Linked DNA regions of Pelodiscus sinensis. The protein of the gene in region 1 purifies or fractionates together with the protein of each later gene. This does not show direct contact. Links are inferred from orthologs where the notes say so. Each region holds a gene or a part of one and is shown on either strand. Other genes may lie near its edges.

What was found. Proteins that work in one complex are often made in the same cells at the same time.
Region 2: the proteins of MLF1 (region 1) and DNAJB6 purify together in Homo sapiens (affinity purification with mass spectrometry; 3 studies listed by BioGRID and IntAct, counting the BioPlex papers as one, with this or other methods). This does not show direct contact. The link is inferred for Pelodiscus sinensis from reciprocal best matches to the Homo sapiens genes MLF1 and DNAJB6.

Annotation. Positions count from the first base shown.
Region 1 is NC_134720.1:31,525,043-31,532,234, forward strand, and holds the start of MLF1 (myeloid leukemia factor 1), read left to right. Parts: upstream 1-4,176; 5' UTR 4,177-4,295; coding exon 4,296-4,348; intron 4,349-7,192. UniProt on the Homo sapiens protein: Involved in lineage commitment of primary hemopoietic progenitors by restricting erythroid formation and enhancing myeloid formation.
Region 2 is NC_134712.1:239,889,149-239,896,492, forward strand, and holds the start of DNAJB6 (dnaJ homolog subfamily B member 6), read right to left. Parts: upstream 3,025-7,344; 5' UTR 2,892-3,024; intron 1-2,891. UniProt on the Homo sapiens protein: Has a stimulatory effect on the ATPase activity of HSP70 in a dose-dependent and time-dependent manner and hence acts as a co-chaperone of HSP70. Plays an indispensable role in the organization of KRT8/KRT18 filaments.

The sequences.
Region 1 (7,192 bases):
CTTCCTTAGTCTGCTGTAGACCCATCTCCTAAATACTCAAGCATGCGAAAATGCAGGGAGCACTTGCAAAGTTGTGTTCCATAACATACATTGGAGTGGACTGTGGGCCCTATCTTTGAGACTGGATGTTTGGTGTTCAGAGAAGTTAAGATAGAAAGACCATAAAGATGGCTGTAAGTCTGATCCTCAGGTTACCAGTCAGGTCCCAAGAAATATATTGAATTGTAGGAACTGAAATTATCCAACAGGGACCATTCCAGCAGTTGGGGATTATTAGTGTGTAGAAGTACTGCAGTCATGCTACTTTCCCTAAGCAATAGCTCCTACACTGGAACTAACTGTGCAGCCTAATTCCCAAATACCAGTTAAGCTGGATCAAAGTTTGCTTCATGCCACAAAAGTTAATATCACAATAACTAACATTTTTAACAGTAGTTTCAATTCATCACATTCAAAAAGCTCCATGACATTTTCCCTTTCAACCCCAGAGCAGTGAGGCTGGAGTTGATAGCCAACAAGGCTCCCATAGCTCTTAGCCAGTGCAGGTGGCGAGATCCCCTCAGAGCTCCCACCCGCCAACCCTGGAGTTCCCAGCTGCTGTGGCGAGGGAAGTTCAATGCACTCAACCCCCAGAGGTATCAGAGGCATACCAGAGACACAGCAGCAGTGGGTGCTGGACCCCTCCTCCCCATTTTGTTAGTTACTTTTAATAAAAGTTAGAGACTGATCACAAGCTTCTGTGAATTTTTGCTTATTGTCTGTAGCCTGTCCATGAATTTTACTAAAAATTACTGTGACACAACTTCAGCTTTACTGTTTAGAAGTAGCTTCAGAGTGGTAGCAGAGTTAGTCTGTAACTAGAAAAACTTAAAAACAATTAATAGTCTTGTAACAACTTAAAGACTAACAAAACATGTAGATGGTTTCATAAGCTTTCGTGGGAACAACCCTCTTCAGATGACTGGAGTATTAAAAGTCCAGATCCAAGAATAAATAAGGGAAAGAGGGAGGGAGAAAGACAATGAATAGATTATTCAAGTTACAAGAGGCTGATAAGAACAATTAGCACCTCTGTTGTTTGGCTGATTAAGTCGTTAGGATGTAGAAGGTAGTGTGCAAGCCAGCCAGTTCATTCCATTCTGACAAGAATCAAACTTGTAAATGAAGTTAAGTTCTAACCATTCCCTGTGTATTTGGCTTGTGGAATTGGCCTGAAACAACACAGTGACTTGGAACTCCATTAATGGACTTTTAATACTCCAGTCATCTGAAGAAGTGGGTTGTGCCCACGAAAGCTCATGATACCATCTACGGCTACACTTCAGGCTTTTTGCGCAAAAACTTGCAGAGCGTGTACACTGCAAGCATGTTCTTGTGCAAGTACATTTCCAGTAAAGCATCAGAAAAGAGGGATTCCTGTGCAAGTGTTATTCCTCTCCCCACGAGGAATAAGCCCTTTTGTGCAAGAGCTCTTGCGCAAGAAGGCAGTGTGGACCGGCAACAGGGGTTTCTTGCGCACGAAACCCCTATGGCTAAAATGGCCATCAGAGCTTTTTTGAGCAAGAAAGCATCCACCCCACCATGGACGCTCTTGAGCAAAAGCACAGCTCTTGCGCAAAAGCATATGGTAGTATGGATGCACTCTTGTGCAAGCAGCCTGCAGTGTAGACATAGCCTACATGTTTTGTTAGTCTTTAAGGTGCTACTAATCGTTGTTTTAAGTTTTTCTGTTCACAAGTACTCATTGGTATCACTAGACTCTGTTTATAGTGACTTTTCTCTTAAGATATGTGTGCACTAGTATGTAGGGAACATTTAGAATCCAAGACACTATTTTCATTATGAAAAGTACATCACAAAGTAATAGATCGAAACCTCAGAATCCCAGAGACCCCAAAAAGCCTTATAACAGCCTATAGAATTCACAGTACTGACACAATGCCTCTGGTTGGCCAATGGCGTGAACTTATGTTGTTCTTCGGCTACATTTTCGGATACCATCATCCTTTCTCCCTACCTGCTTGGGAGATGCTCCCGGTAAACTTCCACCAAGCCACCTCATTATCCACCTTCAAATTTTGTTGTGATGCCCACATAAAACTTGAAAATGATTTGACTACTAATGTGCAGGTGACCAGCCTATCATGCTGGCCAGTATTGTCTCACTGTTCCTGTTACTCCCCCCACCCATGTCTATATTCATCCATAATCTCATTTTATATGTAGACCAGTGATACTCAGAGATTCAGGAGCCAAATTAATGATTAACATTACTCACTAGTATGAATTCATTGTTTTATATACATTAACATATGTACATGAATATATGTACATTACTGTCACCGTAAGAAGACTGACCATGTATTATTTTATCAATTACAATTGGTTAATAACATAGCATCCTGATTGGTTAACTTAAACTGGTTGTTAATTTAAATTACATAGCGTTTTTATATCATGTGCTGCAACACAGGTGAGTAGAGAGAAGGAACACAAAAGGGGACACCAGCTCCACACAATGTGACTCTTCCACACACAACTCGTCCAGGACCCACATAATCCCATTCGTACCCCATCCCATGTTACCTGAGGCAGGGAGAGTGTCTATCCTGCTACACTGCATTGCCCAGCAAGCAGGGTCCCAGACAACATGGCCGGAGGCTGCCTGGAAGAGTGCAGTTGCTCTGATGCCTCCCCTCCCTGTGCTGCAGTGCACTGGGTAGCATCCCAGGCAGTGTGGCTGGAAGCCACCTGGGACTCAGGAGAGAGTACCTGCTGCCTGGCTCCCTCCACGCTCCCTCCCATTACCTGGTGAGTGAGGGGGGCTCTGTCCCTCTGATGCCGCACTATGTTGAGCAGCATCTCCTCTTCCTGTCAGAGTGCAGCATCTGAGCAGCGTAGCCAAAAGAGCCCCTTGCCTGGCTCCCACAGCATGGGGGGAGGGCATGTGACACTTCCTGCCCCCCATGCATTACTCTTAGCTGCAAAGAGTGACAGAGGACACTTTAAGAGCCACTCTCAAGTGTCCAGTCTGAGTATCACTGATGGAGACCGTGACTCCTGGGGGCCCGGGACTGTCTTTTTAGTCTGCTTTGCAAATGGCCTAACACTCAGAGATACTGGTCTATGACTAAAGTTCCTAGTGCTAGAATAAAACAAATCATTAATAATTTGAACATGGAAATAAGGGAAATTCTTCCCATCTCTGCTTCCTACACAAATTCTGTTCCTTGTTTCCAAATTGACAATCATTTCCTAGCTACAGAATATTTTTCCAAATCGCTTCTATTTTTCGTTGTCCCAGTCTTACAGTGCACTCTTTGCTTTGGCCCCTTAAACCTGGACTTTTCTTTGGTGTCCTCCTTGTGACCCATGATGCTAAGGTCCCAGTAGACCAGAACTGTGGGGGTAATGCTCCATTTTGGGTGCTGTAGCCCTGTAGCTCCTATGTAGGGAACTCTATGGTCCTGTGCTTCCTCCCAGAAAGAGGCCCTAAAGTGCCATACGGTTTAGTGCCCCTGTTCTTTCCGGGGCCTCTCTTTGAGGTAACTATCTGTCACGCCTTTCCACCCCTATGCTTTGGTGCCCCTATTATTTTGGTGCTGTGACCCACGATACAAGGTGCTGCCCTGTGTCCCTCAGTCGTCGTCCCCCACCCGCTTCCACGTACCTTGTCCTGGGCTCCCTCCCCATGTCATAGTGCCCTGCTCCCCGCCCTCCTGTCCATAGGAGCTCCCCTGCAGTTGTCAAGGTGCTGTCGCCCCACCCTCTGAAGAGCCCCACCCCGTATGGGCAATAGGCGACTGCTGCCTGTGAGGGAGGGGTAGCGACCGAGAGGAACAGGGAGGGGCCATGAGGAGTCATCCCATTTGGCAATTGCAATTTTAACAGAGGCACAGGGGGCCATGCGCCTCCCGGGTGCAACCAGGCGTAACCCGTATGCCGCCCCCTAATGTGGTGCCCTGAGCTCCCCTCCCGCTGGCGTAGCGCTGTCCGCCCCCATCCCGTGCCCCACTGTCCTTGAGCCTCGCGCAGAGCCAGAAGCTTCTAGACCTGGCCAGCCGCCCGAGTCAGGCCTTGTGTTGAAAGCGGTCGCCATGGTAGCAGCCTCGCCACGCCGCCCTGCCCCCGCCGGTCCCCGCCCTATGGGGAGGCAGCCGAGGCCGGGGACAGCCAATGGGGAGTGAGCGGCGCATCGCGGGAGCTTGGTGGGCGGAGGAAAAGAGCCGCCGTTGGGAGCCGGCGGGCTCTCGGGCGCTGCCACAGCGAGTCGACTGAGAGGTAGCGGCGCTGCCATGTTCGGGAACAGGGGCCTGAGGGAGCTCTTCGAGGAAGACCCCTTCTTCCGGTGAGTGGGCAGCGAGTGCTGCGTGCCTGGGCGGCGGGCGGGGCGCTCGGAGTCGGCCGGGCTGTCCCCGGGGCGGGGAGAAGGGGCTCGCTGCTGCACCGCCGGAGGCTTGGGGGGGCTGCACCCGGCAGGCTGGTGCGTGCGGCTGTCTGCCTTGACTGGCTAGCCCGTGGCGCGCCGAGGTGACCTGCGGGTGAGGAGCCCGAATCAGCCGCCTGAGCGAAGCTGGTGAAAGCAGAAAGCCGATAAAGGTGCTTAGCTGTGAGCGTCCTCGCCTGTCCCGGGAGCCTGTCACCTGCGCAGGGACCCTCCCAGGGAAGCCTTTGAGTCCGGGGCTTAGGCTGCAGCTCCGCCCACAGCGCCTCTAGCCTAGCCGTGGTGGGAGTGGGCTGGTATGGTTATCCTCGTGTTCTGGGGAGCTGTCGGTGGGGGTGGTCAGACCCAACTCTGCAAACTCTATGAAGCATTCAGTAGCTGCCCTCCGCATGGCAAAGTGTGGCATCTCGTGGCCGTGTTTAAAGTCTCTTCCGTTGCGTGTGTGTTTCTATATCAAGTTTTCTTGGTTTACACTATGTTCCAACAAACATTGGGTTACGGCGTCTCTTTAATTTCTAAGAGATGACAAGTAAGGAATGCATGAATTGATTTACAGAACCATCACACTAGTGCCTTTTTTTTGTCTCTGCTTCTCCACTTGTCCCAATCAAAGCTACCTATGAACAATTCAGTGTTATGTGATAGGTATTATTACATCCTAGTTAGTGAAATGCCATATCTGAGGTAACTCAGCCAATCCTCCTACTCTCTCAGTATTGCACAATTCATTTGTATATTGCAGTCTTATTAGATAAAATATCCTAATATTAATTTAAATACCTTTATGGCTTCTTAACTACAGAAAATGTTGCCTGATATTTCAACAGAAGTGCAAAGATAACACACTACAACTTGTAGAGTTTGATTGTGAAACTTAAATATTTGCAAAGCCCTAATAGACAATGCACCAGAGCCCAGGTATTATGAAAAATTTGCTATGTTTCTATATATTATTTACTCTAACTACAGAAAATTTTTAGTTAGGGTCACAATCTGAGATGCTTGTGCATCAGTAAGAACAGAAGAATAGCCATACTGGGTTAGACCAGTGGTCTATCTAGCCCAGTATCCTGGTTTCTGACAGTGACTGGTGCCAGATGCTACAGAAAGTGTTAACTCAGTTGAAGCAAAATGCAGGACAATGTAGCACTTTAAAGACTAACAAGATGGTTTATTAGATGATGAGCTTTCGTGGGCCAGACCCACTTCCTCAGATCAAAAGTGGGTCTGGCCCACGAAAGCTCATCATCTAATAAACCGTCTTGTTAGTCTTTAAAGTGCTACATTGTCCTGCATTTTGCTTCAACTACCCCAGACTAACACGGCTACATTTCTATCACTTAACTCAGTTGGGCAGTTTTATCAGGTGAGCCCAACCCTGTTCTAGCAGTTACTTTAGGGACAGTCAGCAGTGGATTGCATCCTTGACTGTGTTGGCTATCCTTCATTAAGTTATCTGATTGTTTTTTGAAACCACTTGTATTTTTGGCCATCACAGCATCCTCTGATAACTAGTTCCACAAGTTGACTGTGCATTGTGTGAAGAAGTACTTCTGTTTGTTTTAAACCTGATCCTTATTAATTTTATTGGGTGAACCTTGCCTTGTGTGTTATGTGAAGAAGTAAATAACTCTCCTTTATTCACTTTCTCCCTACCATTAATGATTTTATAGACTTCTATCATTGTTCTTTTTAATTGTCACTCTTCTGATCTAAGCAGCCAGTGTCTTTAATTTCTTCTCATATGGAAACTGATCCATACTCCTAGTAAATTTTGTTGCCTTTCTTTATACTCTTTTCACTTCTAATATATCTTTGCAGTATTCAAGGTGGGGGCATACCATGCATTTTATTTAGTGTGTTTATATTTTGTTTTATTCCCTTTCCTATTGGTTTCTAACTTTGTTCGGTTTTTTTGTACTGATTCTGCACATTGAACAGCTGTTTTCAGAGAACTATTCACCATGACTCTACATTTTGTCTGTACATTATTTTGGGATTATTTCTTCCATTGTGCATTGTGTTGAGTTTGTCACGATTGAATTTCATCTGCCTCTTTCTTGCCTACTCACCCAGTTTTGTGAGATCCCTTTGTAACTCTTCGCAGTCTTTGGACTCAACTAAACAGAGGAAGAAGGAGAGGGGGGGAGAGAGAGATTTGGAACTATGAGACACACCAAAACAATCCAAATCATTTCACTCCATGCAATTTTTCTTTTCCTCCTTCTCTGCCCCACTCTTTCATGTCTCTGCTAGATTATAAACTGTAATCTCTGTAGAATAGGTACCATGTCTTTGTACAATGATTATGGCTTTGTGTACACTTAAAAGTTTAGAGCACAGCTGCAGCAGCTTTCTCCCAGTGCTCTGTGTAAACCATCTCCACGAGGGGAGTAGCTAACAGTCTGGTTTACCCTGGGGCTTTACAGTGCTGTAACTTGCTCTCTTTGGGGTAGAAGTGGTCCAGACAATTAATTACAGAAAATTACAGTTTTGTAAAATACCAGTATAATTTAGCCTAACGCAAACATCCATTGATGGTGCTGTGTAAAATAATATTTACTGCTATCTGTGGAGGCTTCCAGTAGCAAATTCATACCACCCCGGTGCTTGTGGAGATTACTCTTTTCCTTGGATTTTTTTTATGTAACACTCCCCCCGCCCCCTCCCCCAGTTATACAAGACAGGAAAGGCTATATTTGAACATTCATCATATCAGCTGTCTCCGTTCTCTGCTTCAGTGATTGC
Region 2 (7,344 bases), on another chromosome or scaffold:
CCACGGAGACGGTGCTGGGGGGGGATAACCGGCTTTTAAGCCAGTTCCTCCCAGCACTGGCACCTGCTCTCCCTCCCCCCCCCTTGCTGCCTTTAATGGGGGGGCCGCAAATAGTCAAAGCACTAGATGACTATCCAATAAGCTTTTGCTTATCAGATAGTCAACTAGTCCCTTACATCCCAAATGCAAGTGGGAATTTCTCTATTTATGACACTAAAATGTTTTTAAATTAAGATTTTTTTCCAAAGTTTTAAAAAAAAAACCTGAGGTTTTTTCTAATGGGTCACTGTTTGATAAAATCTTCTGGAGAATCTTACGAAGGGGTCAGCAGGGAATGGCGCAGCAAGGGGTGAACCCTCCGCCGTTTTGCAGGGAGCCAGGAGAAAAATCAATCTTGCAGTCACTTAGGCTATCAGAGCAAGATCTTTTAATACAGATTTAACCTTTCTACTCCAGCACCCTCTGGACCCGACCAGTGCTGAACCAGACAATCTTCCAGACCACAGAAGGTCAATATTGTCTAGCAGCATTACCAGCACTTCTACTTACTGGGATGGTAGGTGACATTTAGGGATAAATTGGAGCTGAACAGCAGCACAGGATAGTGAGACAGGACTGGTGGCTATAAACAAACTTGATGGGACCATGGGAAACTTGGCCACACACATAAGTGGACATCCGACCAAAATCATACCAGACCAGAAAATACCAGATGAAAGGTTCAACTTGTAGAATGCTGTATAATACTATTTTATGAAATTTTGACTTTACTGCAACTTGTTAAGCAACAGGAAGTGAAAGATCCCTGTTGTTCTGATGTCTAGATTTCAAGATATTTGTGTTTTCACTGGATGTTGATGATTTTCTTGACACAAAACAGGGGACCATGACATCAGCTACAACAAAGCTGAATTCAGATACAAAAATTGAAAAGAGAATTGAAAACAAAATGATGTAAACATCTGATAAGAAGGACTCTGTGGTTATAGTCAGAGCTAACAGGGGCTCTCAAATATTATCTATACAACCAAAGTTTAAGTAAATTGTTAATTTTTTATTCTGCAGATTTCTGAAAGTCACAAGGATCCTAGCAATAAGATTAGTAAATCAGTGTACACTGAAATGTGAATCTTTAACTAGTGGGGGCGAGAGAAGCTCTCCTCTTGCTGTGGGAAGGCAACTGCACCAGCACCAAGGGGGAACCACTGCAAACAGGGCTGCTCCAACATCCCTGCCAGAACAGCTCTGTTGGTGGCAGCCCAACCACCCTCTTCAATCCGCTAACTAGTTAAACAATAGAATTAACCGGTTAATCAATTCAACATGATTTTACATCCCTATTGTATACAGACTTCAGCAGACAATTTAGTTGGCCCAGTAAGCTAACATAGGAACTTGGCAGTTATGTTACCTCCCAACCTGGAGACAAACACCTTTTGTAACTAGAGTTACATAACTTACACCCCCAAAATGGAGCAAAAATCCAACCCAATATGATTATTCACTCCTCAGCAATACACTTTGCTAAAGGACCATATAATCAGAACATAGAAATCTAACAGAGCCCAAAGCCATTCCAATCACTCATACAAGTCAAAAAATGTGTCCGACATGCCCCCCCCCGACATTCTATCCACAAGACAGACAACAGACCTACTATGCCAGATCACAAGCTTGACCATGTGCATTTAAAACCTTATTACACAAGTTTAGCTTCTATAACTTTCATCTTGGTCCAGTTAAAACAATGCTCTGCTACTAATACACTACTGTAGGTATCTACCATTTAGTGTTACTAGTTAAAACATATTGAGAAATGGCTTCAAGGATCCTAATACCTTGGGAACAAGTTCTTCTGGCCTCAAAGAGGAAACCAGCTTGCAGACAAGTCAACTTCAAACTACATTATCAGTGACCAAACTGAAACTAGTTTTAAGTGTTATAACCAGCAAGATGACCAGAGACTCCACTTCCCCACTCACTGTCATCTCAGAAGTCCTGCATGCAGCAGTGACATGAACTACCTACTTCCCCTTCACAGGGAATATTGTCTGTGTGAAACCTGGCAATTTCACATTCACAACATCCAAAAGCCCCTCACCTTTGCACACAACACACTGGGCTGGAAGAAACTCACAGCGCATGAAAGTTTTACTGTAAACAGCAGCTAATGCAGGACCCCGGAATTGGCATGTAGTGCAGTAGCTGCTTTCCTTGCTTGCTTTTGTAAAAACACACTACTACGGGCCATCATCACCCATCATAAGCTTGCAGCAAAGTCACAGTAAAGAGAAGGCTGCACAGTAGTTTTCACAACGTTAGAGCGCGCTGGGAGTTTTCTAAGCTCTCTCGCCCCTCCCGCATCTCCCCAGCAGCGTTTGATCGCTCGGAGCCATCTGACTTGGCCTCGTTGCGAGGGATCAAACACGAGCCATTTCCTTTGCTCAGAGCCGCGGCGCATCTCCAGGACGCCCAGCGGCCGGTCACGATAATCGAGCCGCCAGGGCCCTGCCTCGCTCGCCGCCGTCCCCAAAGCAGGAAGCCCAGCGCTGCACCCGTTCCCTTCCCACCGCCGCCGACTCAGCCCCGAACGCGGGCCAGAGCTAAGCGCCACCCCCGGCGTCCCGCAGCGCCCCCACAGCGGGCGAGGGCCCGGGCAGCAGCCTCCGCTCCCCCACCCCCGCCCGCCCTTCCGCGCTCCGTCAGCCCCAGCTCTGCGCCACCAGCGGGGGGGGGGGGGGAGCGAGGAGCTGCATTACCAACAACACGGTTGCTGGGGGCGAGAGCCGGCCTCACATTCCGCCCCCCCCAGACCCGACGGAACCCCGGCCCCCGCCAGCACGGTACCGCCGCCCCCTCAATGCCCGATCCCCGACGAGCCTCTGGCTCACCCTGCACGGCCGCTGCGCTCCCTTCTCCCCGAACAGCAGCAGCGATTACAAAAGCGTCGGCCGGCCACGCACAAACAGAAATTGCGTCGCACGCCGAAACGTCACTTCCGCTAACGCCCTCTATTTCCGGACGTTTCTGGAACGGTCTCTCCCTCTCCCCTGGCGGCGGAAGCGCGGGGGAGAGGGCGGCGCCGGGAGAGCGAGCGAACGAGCGGTGGCGCCATCTGCTGGCCGCAGGCAGCGCGCCTGGCGGCTGAGTTGTGGCGCGGGAGACTTGACCGGCGCGGGAGCCCAGGCGGGGCCGAGGCCGTGAGGGCCCGTCTCCGCGCGCGTCACAGGCCCCGCTCGGGTGAGCCGGTGCCCTGGTTTCACGGGCGGCCCAGCACTTGGGGCTTTGTCCGATAGCGGCGCTGTCGCTGTTCTGCCCCGCGCGCTCCCCCGTCGGGGAAGGCACTTGCTGCCGGGCGACTTCGAGCGCGTGACGCCTCGTTCCCTGCGGGCAGGGCCGCTCTGGCGATAAAAGCTTCCGTTGTCTCCCCGGCAGGTGGAACTAGCGGTGTTTGCACAGCGCCCCGGGCCGCCGCTGTCCTCCCAGCGGGGCATTGATGCGCCAGAGGCACTGAGCATAATTCATGGGGCAGGGTGGTTCCCCCAATCTGCCCCTTATTGCCTACAGAGGGGACCCCCCCCCCATTTGTCATGATGTAGTTGGGCCACTACTTCCGAGCATTTGGGGTCCGGGTCCATTGTGGGAGTTACAGGAGCATTGTCAGTTCCTCTTGCCTCTGTAAGGGGCAGCCCTCTGCCGTAACTCGCTTGTGAGCTTCCCATTTCATTTCTTTTTTTGGTTCCTCCAGCACGAATTTCCTCCATGCTTCTGCTCTCAATGTCCCTCTAACACCTTTAACCAAATGGATACCCATATCTGCATCTGATACCCATATTCATATCCATTTCTTCCTCTAACGTGTGCCAACAATGCCCCACTGCCATATACATTGGCCAAACCGGACAGTTCCTACATAAAAGCATCAATGGCCACAAATCAGATATTAGGAATGGCAACATACAAAAACCTCTAGGGGAACACTTCAATCTCCCTGAACACACAACTGCAGATCTAAAGGTAGCCATCCTACAGCAAAAAAACGTCAGGACCAGACTTCAAAGAGAAACTGCTGAGCTACAGTTCATCTTCAAGTTTGACACAATCAACTCTGGATTAAACAAAGACTGTGAATGGCTTGCTAACTACAAAAGCAGCTTTTCCTCTCTTGGAATTCACAGATCAGCTACTAGATCAGCTACTAGAAATGGGCCTCATCCTCCCTGATTGGATCCACCTTGTCATCTCCAGCCTGATTCTGGCCTGCATATTTATACCTGCCTCTGGAAATTTCCACTACATGCATCTGACGAAGTGGGTCTTTGCCCACAAAAGCTTATGCTCAACACTTCAGTTACTCTATAAGGTGCCACAGGACTCCTCGCCGCTTTTACAGCTTCAGACTAACACGGCTACTCCTCTGATACTTGACTCCATAAAGAGTCTCTGTATTATTTTAAAATGTTATTCTAGTGGATGCTGAAATCTTTTGAGTGGACTGTGCTGTGGGCTGAAATCACTGAAAAGCTGGCATCACAGAGAGCTGAAATCACTAGGTTTGGCCTAAAGCCCAAATCCATCCCAAGGCTGGCTAGCAAGGGAGGTGGCCAGGGGGAGCAGTGGCAGGTGGCCAGTGGAGTGGCTGGCGGGAACAGCACAGAGGTGGCATTGCCACATGCTTAATGAATGGAGATATCAGGATGATGTACCACTGTGCAGACTCTGGGTCTGCACTGACTGGACAGAGCCATGAGTGGGATATTTGAAGGGGTGGGGGGAACACACTATGAGTTGGGGGATGAACTAAAGACCTTTAAGCAGAAGACTGTTCCCTGCAGACTCTGGGGATGGGATCTTGATTACGGGTTTTCTTTTTTTATGTGTGTACCTGTAGGTTGATGCGAGATTACTGTTATTAAACAGACTGTTGCTATTTCTGACTCAGTGTTTGCAAGAGGGGAAGAAGTGCCTCTAAAGACGACCAGTGAATAGGTTGGAATTTTCCCAGTTTACCGGGTGGGGACTCAAGTCATTTTGGTTATCTTGTTGAAAGAACTTCTCTAGATACTGAACCCAGTCCTGGCTACCGACTGCTACCAGCAGAAGGGCTACATGAAAAACTACTGTTTCAATTCCAGGTATACCCTGTCTGAATCCACAGGTCCTAAAATCACTTTCATTTTTTTAATACAAATAATCTAACAATGACACTTTAAGAGCCAATATATTGAAATCGGGGCAGTTTTGAGTACCACAGGCACAAACCCAACAGCCATAGCCAGAATCTCCTTTTTAATAACATACAATTCTGGGAAGTCACCAGGGCTCTATTCTGTTACATAGCCGACAACTGCGGGAATTATTCCGACATCACTGCCTTCATTACTTCCTTCACCCAGTCCCAGCCAGTAGCAACAATGCTGTTCCATCTAACCTTCCTCTAGTACTGCGTATTACTGCCTAGTCAGAAGCACTAGCACAGGCCTGGGCTAAAACCTTGTAATATGTTGACCTTCTGACAGTTCGCGATATCACCTTCACCATCCAATCCAGACGTGTCTCTTTCTAGGGGTCTCCATAACTGACCAGATGCCCATACCTGATCTGGAAATCTCAGTAATGTTTTGCCTTATCTCCCTTTCTAGTTGTGGGTCATCTTGGTCAGGTTCTTTATTTGTTACCACCCTTCTGATAAGTGAAGCCATGGGATTGAACTGTTGCGCTTTTAATTTCAATGCCTGCAATTTCCTTTGCTGGTGGGGCTGTGCAGAGAGAGGGGCTTGCCTGTGCAGAAAGCAACCAAGGCCCAGCTGATTGCCCAGCTGGAAGAGAATGACCAGCCACAGGGCCAGGATCTTGTCCTCAGGGGAAGCAGCCAGACCCCCCCTGAGAGTGTGTCAGGCTCAGAGAGGGGGAGGAGCGCTGGAACCCACCGGAGAGATGAGACAGCATCTCCCAGGAGGCCTGCAAGCCGTAGCCCATCTAGGGCAGGGGCCAGCCCAGCGGAGCTGCAGCGGCTGGAGATCCAGCTGCGGATCAAGGAATTGGAAGTAGAGGACCGAGAGAGGGACCGCCAGGACCGAGAGAGGTAGCGACAGCATGAGCTGGCCATGGCAGAGCGGAGAACCGGCGGGGCACCGGCTGTGCCAAGTGCCGATGGGCCCCAGGGTCCCGGGACTGCCAGACGCTTGGAGAGGCTCGTGGTGGCCCAATTGAAGGACATGGGCGACAGACGGGTTCCTCAGCTCCTTTGAGAGGGCCTGTGGACTGCAACGGGTTTCCCCAGCTGACTGGCTGCAGGAGCTCATCCCCGCACTGAACCAGGAGGCAGCCGGAGTGCTCAGTCAGCTGGAGGACCTACAGCCAGGGGATTACAGCCGAGTCAAGGAGGCCCTGCTGCACAAGTTCGGGCTGACCCCCGAGATGTACAGGAAGAAGTTCCGGGGGGTACAGAAAGGGCCACGGGAGACCTATGTGGATCTGGCCTCCCGCCTGTCGCAATACGGCCGCAAGTGGGTGTCTGGAGTCGGAGCCCAGACCGCAGAGGAGCTGCTCAAGCTGGTCCTGATGGAGCAGTTCTATGAAGCGTGCCCACCCAAACTGAGGCTGTGGCTCAAGGACCAGATTCCAGAGAACCCCCAGGAGGCTGGGAGGCTGGCGGATGAGTTCACGGAGAGCCAGTCCGGGTGTGAACGGGAGTCCCGGAGAGAAAGGGAACCGCGCAGAGACCGGATCTCGGCTGAGCGACCGAGGGAGTCAACTACGGGGCGAGACCAAGGAACAGGTCGTCTGTGCCCCAGAGAGCCAGCCAGGGCCTGGACAGAGACAGCCCAAAGCCTAACTTGCCATCGCTGTGGGCAAAAAGGCCACAAGAGGGCTCAGTGCACCAGGTCCCAGGACCGGGGACTTTCCAGGGTTAACTGGCTGGGGCGGGAGGAAGGGCAGGCTGCCCCAGAGGCAGGGGCTGGCAGGCAAACCTCAGCTCAGAGAGAGGGGAAGGATGCTCAGTGCACCTCCCCTGGGAGGTCTGATTCTCAGGAGGCGGATTTCTCCGTGTACCGGGTGGGGGCAGGACGGCCCCTGCGGAGCGAGTGCCTCATACCCCTGGAGGTGGATGGTAGGAAGGTGACGGGCTTCTGGGACACGGGGGCGGAGGTGACTCTGGCCCGATCCGACATAGTGGCCCCAGAGCGGATACTACCCCACACCCCGCTGACCCTGAAGGGCATAGATGGGTCCCCGTTTAAGGTGCCTGTAGCCCGGGTGCATCTGAAATGGGGGCCAAAGGAAGGCCTCAAGGAAGTGGGGGTGCACCCGCACTTGCCCACGAGGTGCTGATGGGGAATG